Linked DNA regions of Rhinolophus ferrumequinum. The protein of the gene in region 2 purifies or fractionates together with the protein of the main gene of each other region. This does not show direct contact. Links are inferred from orthologs where the notes say so. Each region holds a gene or a part of one and is shown on either strand. Other genes may lie near its edges.

What was found.
Region 1: the proteins of ADRB2 (region 2) and USP33 purify together in Homo sapiens (affinity purification with western blotting; 3 studies listed by BioGRID and IntAct, with this or other methods). This does not show direct contact. The link is inferred for Rhinolophus ferrumequinum from reciprocal best matches to the Homo sapiens genes ADRB2 and USP33.

The regions. Positions count from the first base shown.
Region 1 is NC_046292.1:57,736,014-57,744,109, forward strand, and holds the start of USP33 (ubiquitin carboxyl-terminal hydrolase 33), read right to left. Parts: upstream 3,110-8,096; 5' UTR 2,936-3,109; coding exon 2,897-2,935; intron 1-2,896. UniProt on the Homo sapiens protein: Deubiquitinating enzyme involved in various processes such as centrosome duplication, cellular migration and beta-2 adrenergic receptor/ADRB2 recycling.
Region 2 is NC_046307.1:21,401,235-21,408,555, reverse strand, and holds ADRB2 (beta-2 adrenergic receptor), read right to left. Parts: upstream 2,147-7,321; 5' UTR 1,894-2,146; coding exon 640-1,893; 3' UTR 505-639; downstream 1-504. UniProt on the Homo sapiens protein: Beta-adrenergic receptors mediate the catecholamine-induced activation of adenylate cyclase through the action of G proteins. The beta-2-adrenergic receptor binds epinephrine with an approximately 30-fold greater affinity than it does norepinephrine.

The DNA.
Region 1 (8,096 bases), on a different chromosome or scaffold from region 2:
AATGAGAACCACTCTAAGAACATTTGTCAATATTTTTTGTTTACTAGAATATTGGTACAAAAAAAAACAAAAATTTATTCATCTAAATAATGCCTCTAGTATAAAAATATTAGAAATTCCTCTTTTGGGATTTCATAAATCATTAAAAACTATAGAAAATGGTCTCATTTTGTCACATTCAGTCCCATGTTTTTCTATATTTTCACTATATTACCTACCATATTTTAGGACTGTGCTAGACCCTGGGAATAGAGAGGTAATTTAACAAAGGCTTACAATCAAGCATTGGCCAGACATTATCAATTTAGTGGAGGTGACAACACTAATCTCCACCTTACTTTCTCTTTTAAATGACTGGTTATCTACACCCAACTTATCAACACTCTTCAACATCCTGCAGCTCATTCTGCATTCATGTGGGTCATATATCTCTTCTGATCAACACCTTCAATGAAGTTTTTCATAATTTGTCTTTTTCATCTCCTATTACTAACTTACACAAACCATGACATTACCGAAGTGGTCTACTAATCGTTTCTCAGGTATAACTTGTAACTTTCCAGGAACCCAACAATCCGTTCATTTAGAAATGTCCTACAAAATCTGCATGTTGAAAATCTTTCAAAGTTCACTCATCTCAAATATCATCTCTACCAAGACGCAATCACAAGTAATGTCTCTCTCACCTAAATTCTTGATTATAATATTCATAAGGCACGTACTGTAGTGTTAAAAAAAATACTTGCCTACAAGCTTGACTATAATAAGTTCTTTGACAGCAGAAACCACGTTTCATTCTTTTTATTTTCCAAAGGGCTTTCCCTGGTAGACTCACAGATACTTACCTACTTAGCTTTCTAAAGTAACTTTTTAAAGGGACATTTCTTTTTGATATATGCATTGCTTCTTAAATATTAGTTCTCTTTATATACTACATTGTACAAAATTCATGCTCCTTTCAAAAGACAATTAAACCACTGTACTCATCTTAGACTCTCTGGAACTATCCTATTTATCAAAATGATCCTGCAATCACATGCAGACTTAAAAATGTTTAAAAACTACACTAAAGAAAGCTGTTCCTTAGTCCTTTCTTTTTTAGGAATAACTACATTTCACATTTCTCACCAAAAATCTTTCACCATTTATGTACTTCATTTTCTTGAAAAGAGTCTACAGTCTGTCATAAGTCAATATAGTTCACAATGCTCCAATACCTATCTGAATTCCAATTTATATCAAAGGTTACTTCAGCAAGTTTATTTCAGGCTTTAAGGATATTCTGATCCTTACACAATCTCTAAATGCATCTGTCATGGGAAAAGATTTTACTTCTTGGCATTCCTAACACAGAGGATTGGCATGAGGATCAGTTAAGATTGTGTATGTGAAAGGTAAATAAAAATTGTAAGAGCAATGTATAAATGAAAGAATAATCTCCTTAACTCAGAACTTCAAAATTTGAAAGAAACCACTACAAACTAATACTATCATTAAACTGCACTGCTACGTTATTTACTTACTAATAGGTTATAAAGAGCTCACATAAAAGACAAAAAAGTAAAAATTGGCAATAAAACAGACCAAAACTAAGAAGCAATCTTAAGTAGAAGATCCCTCTTGCATATAGCAGGAAGTCAAATATTTTATTCCTGGAATATTTTTTGTACTGTCCCTTTTTTTTCAATCCTGCCAAAAAAAATGATATAATGCTCCTGGCAGAGTGTAACTGTTACAATAACTTTTTCTTAAAATTAGCATTGTCTTTCAGTAAGATTCCTAGTTTTTCCCCAATATGTATAAGAGTATGAATTCACTAACAATATTTGTATTGTTCAGGTTCACCAACAGTATTTGTTTGTATAGGTTCAAAGCCAATAGCCTATTATCTGATTTGGTCAGAACTTTCCAGATAATACAATTGTCTCAACCAGAAATGTAACCAGGACAACTTCATTAATTTTGGATATAGGTTTTCTTAAAGGAAAATAATGATTAAACCAAAAAGTTCTATAGATCTACTAAACAAGAAGTCTAGAGATCCTTGGTTTAAAATTCATCCTCAGTTTAGAGCCTATGCTTCTGCCAGAATTCCCCCCGTCTGGCCTAATTTTCCAGTCTAATACTGATTATATGAGTATGAAAACCCTAAATATACTTGAATGCAAAACACCTACAAGAATCTCATCCAACAGCTCAATTTGTATCCTGTAAGTATTCAAGTGTTCTGTAGTTAGTAAACATGTAACAGTAAAGGTCTGCGGCACAAAACTCTTACGAAAATTTCATCCAAACAAAAGCTGCAGATGGACAGACCGTAAGGAGTAACGAACGTCTAAAACAGTATGGATCAAACACTGGTCGACGAAAAATTCCAGGGACGATAACACCTAGGTTTCCCTGTTCACAACAATAAATAACGGGGCCTTGAGGCTGCACGAGTAAGTCCCACCACCCCAATTGCGCCGCAAAGCGAAACCAGGACTCAGAAGCCGGGGCGCTGCGGGGTTTTCGGTCGTCTGCGACCACCGTGACTGGGCTGGCAAGCCGGAATAGGGACACCTCCAAAAAAGGAGCAAACACCTCTCGGGGATTCGCTTCATCCCTCTCGCCTTCCACTTCCCAACGGAGCGCCCCCTGGGATCCCTTCCTCAAATCTACGACTGACTCGCGTCCTCCGCCGACCCCTGCTGGGGCGGCCACCCCTGCATCGCAAAGCACAGAGAAGAACCGAGGCCTTCCTCTCGCCTGCGCGCCCACCACTGTCCCGTACTGAAAAAGCGGCCGCTATAGAGGCCGCAGCACCCAGCGCGCGGAAGCGAGAACCGGCACCAGCTCCTCGCGGCAAGCGAGGCGCCCTTCGGCCCCGTGCCCCTCCCAGCAACGACGCGCTCACCTCCACGGCCTTCCCCACGGGCCCCGCCAGCGCGGCCATCAGTAGCCTGCGACAGCACCTCCACAAGCTCCTCTTTTCTTCCCCTGGCCTCGGAGAGCGGCGGCGTCGCGTCCGGAGGCCAGGAGACGGCTCAGCACCGCAGCCCGCCGGGTCCCCGCCTCCCGCACCCGCCACTTCCCGCAGGAGCCCCGGCTCCTTCCGGTGTTTCCACGACCGCCGCAGGCGTCTCGGGAGTCGAGGGAGGGCGGGGAGGGGCGGGGCTGTGGGGAGAGCCCGCCCCGCCCTTGGGGCGTGGCCGCGGCGTCCGGGCCCAGGTGAGGAGAACCAAGCCTGCCCTCACCTCCAAGTTTGTTAATGGTACAGGAACCGTGTACGTGCCGAGCACTTTTAGGCTTTGGGCACTTTTCCTTTAACACGTGTTCTCCCCCCTCTTCTGTCACTCTACGACCACCAGCAGGTCTTGACTCGATGCATTACAGATTCTGCATTAAGGGTGGCCACGGAAGAGCCTCAGGTTTCTGACCTTGTGCAAAGAAGTATTAGACAACTCAATCCAACGCTGTTTTTTCCCTCTCCTCTTTCTTCTCCCAATTTCTTAGGACCTAGATTCTTTGAAAGTAATTGTATTTCCTTTTCCACATCTGTAAAGTAGAACTTCATCTCTCCCATTTTCCCTTCGGCCAAAATCAAGAAGATCAAATCAAATATTTATTGAAACCTTAGTATCTGCTTAGTGCCTAGAGCATTGGAAGAGACCTGTCTTCTAGTTGATGTAATTGCTAAAATTCATTCAAATGATTTATATACAAACAAAAAGTTAATGAAAATTATTGTTAAAATTGCCAGTTTCAATCTAATTACTTCTTTTTGGTCTCCAAAATGTGAACATGTAGCCAAGAGTTGTACAAGATGCTCAATCTCCATCAGAAACAAGTAGGTTCCTTTGTTTACTAAAACCATGTATTGATTGGTACTTTTAAGCCTCCTGTATTTGATAAAAATTATGATGACCAATTCCTCATCCATAAAGGCAATTTAAAAACTGAAGACGAAAGAAACAAGTAGAAAATATGGGAGCTTCTAATTCTATTTTTATGGTAAAAATGGAAGAAATGAACCTTTGCCAACATTCCATGTGCGGAATGACACCAAGACCTCAGTTTGCACCACACATGGTTACCTATCCTGATCACTGAGCAAGAATAGAAATTTCACAATGTAGAGGGTGCATGTGGTACTACCACTGTTCTCTTTGTTTTCAGAATATTTCAAAATATTGTGGCTTTCATGTCACAGGATGTTAGCAATGTGGTTAATTTTTATTTTAAAAAATGAAATATCTAAATTTTAAAAATTTTATACTCCGCTGTAAAGAGATGAGAATGATCATGAAAATCATTTGTTCTCTGATGTCTTGGCAAAGTACTGGTTGATTTAAAGAGTTTTATAGGTTTACTTGAAAAAAGTCAAATGTTTTAAATTTTTCTATGATAACAAGTGGCTTTTCTATGAAAACAAGTGGCTCTCAGCAATATGCTAACTATGAAATTTTTTTACTGTATATATTTAACCTCTGGCCTCAAAGTGAAAAGTGAAGTTTCAAAAATGAGTTAGGCAGTAACTGTTTTTTTAAAGAAACCTACGCAATGAAGATAGCATTTTGAGGGGCCAGTGGCTCAGTTTGTTGGAGTGCCATTCTCCTAACACCGGCATCGGCATCGGTGGTTCAATTCTCACATGGGCCAGTGAGCTGTGCCCTCTACAGCTAAGATCGTGAACAACAGCTCTCTGTGGAGGTAGGCTGCAGTAAACAGCTGGAGGTTGGCATGAGTTGCTGAGTGCTGCTGGCCGCTGCTGTATGCTGCCGTGAGCGGTCAGCGGGCCAGCGCAGCCAGCGAGAGCTGCCGTGAGCTGCTGTGAGCTGCCCGCCGACAACCGGCTGCCTCAGCCGAGGGGAGTGCAAGGCTCATAATACCAGCATGGGCCAGGGAGCTGTGTCCTACACAAGTAGACTGAGAAAAAACGGCTTGAACGGGGCGGGGGCAGGGGGGGCGGAATAAGGGGGGCAAAAAGGCATTTTGAAAAAGGGGAGTTGAAACTGATTAAGCAATTTTGCTGCCAAAAATTATGTGCCACCTATAAAAACTCATCTTTGCATCAAAAGAGACCATTAAGAGATGAAAAGTCAAGCCAGAAATTAAGAAAAGACATTTATAATATGTATAATTGATAGAATTTTTACATATACATATATGTCCACAAATCAATAGCACAATCAAATAGACAAAAAGGCAAAAGTCATTGCTTCAAAAATTCCTGCGTTGAAAATATATCAAACGTGTTCTGTTATTAAGTGTTCGAGCAAATTTACTTCAACCTCAAAGTCCCCCCACCAATCTGCTTGGTAACCAAGGTACTTTTTGGCTTATGTTTCCTTCAGAGGTTCTAGGACACTGGGAAGACAAATAATGCCACTGCTCAAGACAGGTGTAGCTCATGCCTAGATGAAAGCAAGCAAGTGCCTCTCATGTACACACCAGGTCAAGTCCGTGCTGTGGACCAATCCTCACAAAGCAAATGCACTCTGACAATGCAATATATCTCCCACTTTTAACTTCCGTGGATTCCCACCCTCCCTACCCACCCTAGGATGTTTGCATTTATCCCTTTTTCCCTTAATCCAGAATTCTTAATCCCTTATTTTTCTTCAAATATTATAATATGTGGATAGGCTATAAGGAAGGATGTTATCATTGGGAAATCGATCTATCAACTCCCTTCTCAGAGAGGAGAGATTATACGGGCGGGGGGTGGGGGGAGGTGCCAAAAAAATGTCTACAAGTGGACACTTCGGTCAGCGTTGCTCAAGCAGTAGTTCACCGTAATCAGAAGTGTCTGGACACTGAGGGTAACCACTTTGAGCACCTCTTGTAATTGCAGAAGTCAAACATGACTTGTATTCATCTTTTGTTATTGGTATATATTGAGTATTATAATGTTAGTACAGTTTTCCTTCCTTAAAAATGTGTATACATTTTTTTGGCACCCTCTGTATATTCCATGGTGTAGACAGACACTCAGCTGAATCACACTAATTCTGGAATGGAACTCTACAGATGCCATTTGTATTAAATACGATGTGAATTGTAAGCCCAGGAATTGTGCATCAGGCTCTCCTAATGGGGCATGAGAGGGGGCAGGGGCGGGGAAGGGGGAAGAAGAGAAGAAGAAAAGGAGGGGGAGAAAAGAAGTATGGGTAGGATAGGAAGGAAGACAAATATGAATGGTCATATCAAAACAAATACTTTCTCATTTTTGCAAATGAGTAATGGCAAGTAAAAGTAGCAATGCACAAAACATACATTTTGATGATCGTGTACCTGAGAATGACTAATAATCCTTTGCAACTGTTGTTCCCTCAGTCAGATACACTTTTACCAGATACCTCAAACTCCTCTCTCTCATTCACCTAGCTAACCCCTACCTAGATAGTCCCTAATGAAGCATTCTTTACCCCATTCTCATTTTTGTTTCCTTCACAGAGGGTATTACAAATTTTAATTATTTTAAGATTTTTGTGTGTACTTAATTTTCTGCCTATCTCGTCTGAACTGTAAGGTCGGTGAGAGCAGTTAGCAATTCTATCTTATTCACAATATTCTCAGAGTCCAGCATTAAAGAACTCAAGTACTTGTTGTTTCTCAACTAGGGGTGGTGAATATTCGCATGGTGAATATTTGGCAATATCCCTGAGGAGGGCTGGAGGAAGAAAGATTTAGTTACATTCCTTTGCATTAACGCATCAAGGGAGTCCAAAATGTCTTCAGTGACACTGTTGAGAAACCCTGATTTAAATTAGGCTTTATAATGTTTTTGGTTGTAAGTGACAGAAACCCAATTAAACTGCTGCTCCTAATTTGATGAAGAAGGTGGAATTTGTAAGGGACAAGAAGAAAACAATATTATTCTTCTCATTATGGTCTCTGAAAATCTCTGAGGATCCCTCTCTACTCCTAGGACAAAATCTTACTCATACATAGCCTTTAGCTTTGCCAGTCATTCTCAAGTGATTAAAAAGTCCATCAGTCATTTTCTAGCAATAAACACGTGGCTTTTTTACCCTGGTATTAAAAACCCTGTCTAGTACAATGTCAAAAATCCCAGACTCGTGGAGTTAAAAAATTCTCTGCTATTGCCACCCCACTCCTCCCCACCATTCCTCACCCCTGGCTTTTTGTACCTTCTCCCTTGCTGGCTTGTCATTTTGGGCTCCTCCACAGTTGGAGAAAACAGGGACAGAAAGAATTTTTCTTGACTGGAATAGTTTTAGCCTGAAGTCAATGCCTCTAGGAGTAGCTGAGGTTTCAACTGACCCTCTACCTCACAGAGTGCCTTTGTCAATACATCAGTGGGAATCCTCACCTACAGTGGCTTGGCTCAGCAATGTATCTGCTGGTGTACCTTATGACATATACCTCAGTGCTCTGGTTTCCAGGGTTCATCCCTAGGTTGGGATCATATCACCCATGCAGGCAGTCCTGATGGACAGTCTGCTCCAGGATGACAAGTCCAGCTCTCTTTGTCCTCAGTTGGTCTACAAAAACCATGTGTGTCTTGCACAGCAGTGTTTCCAGTCAGCCCTAAGTGCATCTTCTGCTTGTAGGCAGCCTTAGCCTCTTGCCTTAGGACTTTTCAAATGTGAATGAGTTACCAAGTCTTGTCTCTCCAAGATGCCAGGAGACACATGTCATGTTTTCCAAATGGTCCTCTTAAAGCCCTTCAGACTTGGCTTGAGATGAAAGGGGAGCATCTACTGCTCCCCTTTGATTTGGATGTGTAGGTATTTGGCACTGGCTTTTGGGATCTCTGCCAAAAATCTTATTTGTTCACTCTTAGGATAAGGTTTTAGCTTATTCTAGCTCAGGGTTTCCCAAAATGACACCACAGACGTGTTGGACCAAATAATTCTTTGTTGTGAGGTATAGTTCCTGTGCTTTATAGGATGTTTAGCAGCATCCATAGCCTTTATCCACTAGGTACCAGTAGCACCTCCTCCCAGTGGTGACAAACAAAAATGTCTCCATATATTAGTAAATGTCCCACTGGGAGCAAAATCATCCTCAGTTGATAGTCACTGCTCTAGCTTAGGCTGGTGCTTCTCAAAAAAATTTTTTTTCAGATTACCAGATCAGATCATTCA
Region 2 (7,321 bases):
ACCTGCCGTCTCCAGGGGGGGAAGCAACCACACTCCAGTCAAGGGATTTTGGAGAAACAGGTGCAATGAAGTCATGGTCAAACAATTTATTTACTGTAAACTTTAGACTTTGCTCAGGAAAACAACTGAAGCTACCCCTGAAATCCCTGCCTACAACACCCTGTTTCAGCAAATAAGAGGAGCGGGGAGAGTCCATGTTCACAGCTGCAAGGTCCACGAGAGACTCAGGGTCCTCCAGTCCAAGGGTGCAGGAAGGAAGCTGTCCTTCAGATACAAATTACCAGCAGCAATATATTACCCCTAATACTTGACCAATGAGGTAGATACACAGAAAAGTCATCAAAACACAGCAGCCCCAGGTCCTCTGGGACCGAAGCCCTTCAGACATCAACTTGCAAGTTCCATGCAAAGAGGAACCAAACTATACAAGAAACAATCACTCAAATACGTTTTCTCTTTTTTACAGCTTAGAAAAAACAAAACAAAACAAAACAAAACAAAAAAAAACAAAAAAAGGCAGAAGGATGTCCTCCTCCTGCACATCTCTATACAACTTTATTCTAAATGCATTACACTCCAATAATTAAATAGTCTGTGTAGTGTTTTGGGGGGGGGTCCTTAAAAAGTAGAAAAACTGCATTAGAGCAGTGAGTCATTTGTACTACAGTTCCTCCCTTGGGAATCAATGCTATCATTAGGCACAGTACCTGGACGGTTCACAAAGTCTGCCTTGCCTGGGGCATCCTCACACAGCAGTTTGCGGTCTTTCTCCTGTCCCAGGTGATATCCACTCGGCTCCCCTGTGTAGTCAGATCTGTCCTGGCTGTTGGAGCAGCCATTCCCATAGGCCTTCAAAGAAGACCTGCGCAGGCACAGAAGCTCCTGGAAGGCAATCCTGAAATCCGGGCTCCGGCAGTAGATGAGGGGATTGAAAGCCGAGTTGACATAGCCCACCCAGTTTAGGAGGATGTAAACTTCCTTGGGGATGAGGTTATCCTGGATCACATGCACGATGTTGACGATAAAGAAGGGCAGCCAGCACAGCGTGAAAGTGCCCATAATGATGCCCAAAGTCTTCAGGGCTTTGTGTTCCTTCAAGTAGAACTTGGAGGACCTGCGAGGTACGTGCCCGCTCCTCCCATCCTGCTCCACTTGGCTGAGGTTTTGGGCATGGAAGCGGCCCTCAGATTTGTCGATCTTCTGGAGTTGTCTTTTGGCCACCCGGAAGACCCTGGAGTAGACAAAGACCATGACAACCAAGGGCAGGTAGAAGGACACGATGGAAGAGGCAATGGCATAAGCTTGGTTCGTGAAGAAGTCACAGCAGGTCTCCTTGGCATAGCACTCCATGGCTTCTTGGTGCGTGGCCCGGTACCAGTGCATCTGGATGGGTAAGAAGGAGGTAAGACCTGACACAACCCACACCATCAAAATGACCACCCGGGCCTTGTTCTTGGTCAGCAAGCTCTGGTATTTGAAGGGTGTCGTGATGGCAAAGTAGCGATCCACTGCAATCACGCACAGGGTCTCAATGCTGGCCGTGACGCACAACACGTCAATGGAAGTCCAAAACTCACACCAGAAATTGCCAAAAGTCCACATTTTCATGAGGATATGGCTGGCCCCAAAAGGCACCACCGCCAGGCCCATGACCAGGTCCGCACAGGCCAGCGAGGTGATGAAGTAGTTGGTGACCGTCTGCAGACGCTCGAACTTGGCAATGGCTGTAATGACCAGCACGTTTCCAAACACGATGGCCAAGACGATGAGGGACATGACCATGCCCATGCCCACCACCCATGCATCATTCCGCTCCTGCGTGCCGTCTTGGTCCGGCGCATGGCTTCCGTTGGGTGCCAGCAAGAAGACGGTGCGGTTCCCGGGTTGTCCCATGGCGCGCAGGCTGGCAGGTGAGCGCACTGGCTGTTGGCTCACTGGCCGCGCCTCAGAGGGCGGACCTTCGGCAGGGCGCTGCGGGCAGCGAGGGGACGCCTGGAAGCCTCATCCAGCGGCCTGGGAGTGGGTGTGGTAGGGGCGCGTCCTGCACTCAGCTTGTGGGGTGCTCTGGGCTTCAGGTGCCCGTCAATGCCAGCCTGCTATCTGGAGAAGCCGCCTCAGAGTGCGCGCTGCCCGTTATGTGCACAGGACTTTAGAGGAACTGCCTTCCCGGTGACGTGCGGGAACTTTCCGCCAATGACACACGGGCAGCCCCAAAGGGGCGAGGCTCCCTCCCCTTCCCGCCCCTCTCCTCCCTTCTCCCGCCCCTCCTGGGGCTGGCCCGGGCGGAGCCCTCTGCTCCCGGGGCGGGCCACCTCCCCTCCCGCTCATCTGGCTGGGCCAGGAGGGCTGGAGCTGGGGCTGGCGTGCTTACCAGCCAAGCCAGGAACTTTGGGCTCTTCTGTGGCTGCTACCTGTCCGCCTTGGGCGCCTGTGTGGCCTGAGGTCTCAGGACGGAGAGCAGTACATGGGCACTTCCCCATAATCGGAAACAGAGACGAGTGCCCACGGAGACACGCATGGACAGGCACACATGCACCCCAACAGACAAGCTCAGGCTTATACCGACACTGAGACACACCCGTCCAGCGCACCCACAATCACACGCGCGCGCGCACCAAAACCTACAGGCGCAGTCCCTGAACAACACAGAGATAGGGCCAGAAACAAACAGAAGCACCCAGAGCACAAAGGTATGGGCACACGCAGAGAAAGAAGTAAACAACACACAAACGCTCACTTGGAGGCAAGCAGAGCGCCCCATCCAGGTACCCAAACCCTACACCCATGCACCCCGACCTCCACGACACTCACCCCCCGCCCCCGCGAGCGCGCGCGCGCGAACACAAGCATATTCCCTTTCAAACATTTGGCAAGACCACAGGAGGTGACTTCAACAGCTGCCGATTTCCTCAGCACGCTCGCTGTCAAAGTACTTTTGGTGCTCTCCTTGGAAATGTACAGGCATCAAGACACAATTTCACTCTTTGGGTTTCATTTGGAGCTGGGCTGTCTTGTATGTGTTTTGGATAGAAAGAGAAAGTTGTATGCTTTAATTTTTAATTTTGGGGAGTGTGGCATCACTCCCTTATTATTAGTTGAAATGAAAATGTGTTGAAAATGGAATTAATTTTCTTTTTACCCCAAGGCCTTCAGTAATCCCATTACAACTGGAAAAATTATTTCTTTCCTCTTCTAGGAAGTTTGTAGATCTGTTGGATTGAGCCACTTGAAATTGCTGCTATTCTGTGACTCTTGACTTTAAAAAATGGCAATTTCATATGACAGTTTATTAGGAATGTTAACATGAAGGACTTTTGAAGCCACGGAAAGCAAAAGATAATTGTTCCTTAAAAAAAAAAAAAAAATGTCAAACCAGGCCTTCAAACTAGGGTTTTTGTCTATGAAATACTATCCTTTGTATCTGGCATGTGACTTTACTGTTAAAAAGAAATTAACTTCCAGGGTTTGATTTCACATGTATGAGTAGTGTCTTTGAAAAACTGAAAGTATTTCATGCAGGGTAACCAACATACTTTGTAGATTACATAATAACATAACAATGGCTAACGTTTATGGAACATTCTGCCATGTGCTTTTCATGCATTATTTCATTTAATCCTTCCCACAGTCCCATGGTGGGGGGGGGTACTATTTTTAGCTTAATTCACAAATGAGGCTCAAAGAGGAATTTAGCTTGCCCAAGGGCACAGGGTGAGGCAGTGTCAGAAGCAGGAGGTGAATCCAGGTCTGCCTGAGTCAAAAACCCATTTTTTAATCCTTTCAATGTACTGTGTCATCATTCGCAGAAAAGGATGGAGTATAGGGAAAAAGGACTACAACTGGAATTGGAATACCCTAGCTTCAGATCCTCCTGCCTTAGAACTTTACAGCTCTCTTTCCTTAGGCAAATCAAAAAGATGGAGCCTAATTTCCTCCATCTCTAAATGGGTAATAAAGTCACTTCCCTTGAGCTGAGTGAGAATCAAACGATATAATAATAAATGTGAAAGTGTTTTTGCACATATAAATGTCAAGTGTGGGTTATAAATGAAATTTATATAAATTACTCAGTAGTTTAGAATATGTTGTTAGTCTGCTCTAATAGAACAATAAAATACTTTAGGACAAAAGTAACTTGGACTTTTACTCCAAAAGCAAAGCTCAGAAGCAAAAGTTAACCTATATGCCCCCTTTAACTTCCTTCACTTGCAGAAATGGCTTGCAAAGACAGATGCCTTAAAAAACAAATACTTCCCATAAAACCCACAAATATTAAGGATCTATTATGTTCACATAGTTTTCAAAATATACCCACCTCATATTTGTGTGTTCCAAAATTGGCTCTGGTATGATGCATTTTAGGAAGCGGCAGTGTCTGTTATGCAACAACGTTTCTTTAAATATACATCTACCCTGAATTGTAGAATTAAGTCATTTAAAACCTCCTTCCTGTTTGTGAAGCTATGGAATAAATAAGCATATTGTTTAACCTTCCCATAACAAAAAAAGAACAAAGAAAGTCCTTTTATGACAAACACTAATTGATCATTTAGACATACACATAAGTCACTTAAAAATTTAACATGGAATATTTTGGGAAACACCTTTTTAAAAACCCAGGAACACTAAATCAAGAGGGGAAGACGGCTTATGTCAACAAGGATGGTCCAGACCTTTGCCCACCAGCCTTGCAAAATGGACAATTTCTCTGTCTCTGTCCCTCTTTCTCCCTGTCCTGTGTTACCAAGCTGGTAGGAATTTCAACATGTTATCTTCATGCCAAGAGTCTTCTTCAGACCTCCTCTTAGAATTATAGGATTAGAGAGAGTTAGAATGGGAGAGAGTTTCAATAGATCATCTAGTTTATTCCCCCCGCTCCAGTTTGCAAATGAGGAAACTGAAATGTAGAAATAAGAAGTGTCCAGGGGAAGGTGGCAGGGAAGCCCAGGAGTCAGGTCTGCTCCTGCCGTCACATGTTTTCACTGCTCAGTGCTCTACTTTGATTTCTCAGCAGAGGAGTTTGGCTGGCACTGTTTATTGGGCTTGTGGCCTTAGAGAGTTAATGCTTCAGTTAAACTGGAAAGTTCTTAGTAGACTAAATATACCTTTATCTGATGGAAGAAAAAGCAGGCTTTTTAAAATGGTGATTGATAGTGTCTAATTACATATTTTGTCAATCCCTTAAGACATTGATTTGTCATTTCCTGCCTGCCAAACAGGAAAACACACACACACACACACACACACACACACACACACACACACACACACACTTTGATTTACCAAATGAATGTTTGAACAGGAGTGAGGCTCTGTGGTACCAGGGAATGCCCTCACACCAATAGCAGGACGGCTTAGAAAATCTTACCCTGGTCTTGGTTTAGACAACATTCATTCCATCTTCATGATCCTCTGTGCAGAGAAACATTTGTAGATTTCTTTCTAAATGATGGTCTTAAATATCGGTCTTTAATATTTATCTCTGTACGGTATCATCATGTTAAGTTTATATTAAATGAGATTAAATGCATGTAAAGCATTTAGCATGCTGCCTTAGAAGAGGGATAACTGTTACCATCATTATCTTCTTTTGAATCAAAATGTATATATCAAGTACATATTTGTCTTTTCAGATCATATTGTAAAAGGACCCTTTGAACATAGGTAATGAGTAATTTATTTTAAATTTGAATTGCTCCGAAAAAGAATGAAAAAGGGCACAAAGCTTGGTTCCTTAGGAAGAAGAACAATAATGAAAATCGGCATTAACATTGACTTATAGAGCTCGATGGGATGTTAGTGGTATTTGAATGAAGCATCTCACGTCTAGTCAGCTCCTTATACAATAGCACCCGCCAAAACTCTTAGAGAGCCACCTCTAGTGAAAGCAAGCTCACCAGCTCTTTTGTCAGGGTATATTTTTCCAACTCTTCAGATATTGAACTGAACTTTATCTTCTCATAGCGTCTACCCGTGGATCTTAAGTCTGCCCCCTTGAGGCCATTTCAAACAAGTCTCCTCTCTCTTTAACTTTGGGGCGAGTTCCTGAGATTCTTCTGAGCTCTCCTCCTCAGGTTAAATATTCCTTGTTGCCTTGGGTCTGGAGTCTCCTTCGCCATCCATGGGTTTGTCGATGTCCAACCTTAACATCAATACCTGGAATGATCCTAGAACGAGTTATCAAACAAATCAATTTGCAGTTGCCTTGGCAACCATGGAGTAAGCAGAGCAACCAGCAAAGCTTTCAGAACAGCTGATTATACCAGATGAATTTAATTTCCTGCTATGCTAGCGTTTTATGAGAGACATGCTAATAAATTTTTCCGCGTCTCAGGGGGACTGAACAAAGGGAGATGACATTAAATTAACGCAGGAGAGACTTCAGTTGGTCATATGAAAGACTCTTGTCTGAGGAGATTCAATTATTCAAAAGGACTAAACTCTAGTAGCTTTTCTCAGTTAGAGTTTTACAAGGGAATTAAACCACACAGAATAATTGTTTGAGTGACTATTCTTCCCAGTTCTCCCGAGGATGGTACATAGCTATTACCCTATAACTTCATAGAGATGAAGTGATTACATACAATGTAGTGGATGCTTTAGGGCATAGGGCTTAATTCTCTTGCTGAATCTGAGTGGGATTGCTTGGATGGAGTCTCCTTCAGATTTGGGACACATAAAACATACACAATAAAGCGTGTATATTGATGAATGTCTCTTTGTGATGGAAGCACTTTGGCGCAGAGGAGAGAGCATGGATGGAGGTTGGTAGAACTAGGTTCTGGTCCCAGAACAACTATACTGTTATACAGAGGATGCCAAAAAATGTATACACATTTCAAGAGAGGAAAATTGTATTAAAATTGTAATACTCAGTAGATACCAATAACAAAGAATGAATACAAGTCCCGTTTGACTTCTGCAATTATAAGAGGTGCTCAAAGTGGTTACCGTCAGCGTCCAGATAATTCTGATTCAGCAAACTACTGCTTGAGCAACATTGACCAAAGTGTCCACTTGTATTCTTGTTTTTGGCACCCCCAGAATATAACCTTAAAGAAGTCACCTTCTTTCTTTGAGCTTCAATCTTCATCCATGAAATGGGAGTAGGAGTTTGGGCTCAGTAACATCTAAGAGACTTCCTATTCTAAACAGCACTAGCCTATGATGGGAAGGAAGCATGCTGAGGGCCATTGAGGAGATGAGTTCCTGCTCTGAAGAGCTACTGAGGAGTTGGCAAGCAAAAACTGTCAATATCCTACAAAACAACTCAGTTATTGTTTCTCCCTATTTCACCATCGTGATTCCTGCTATTCTGAGT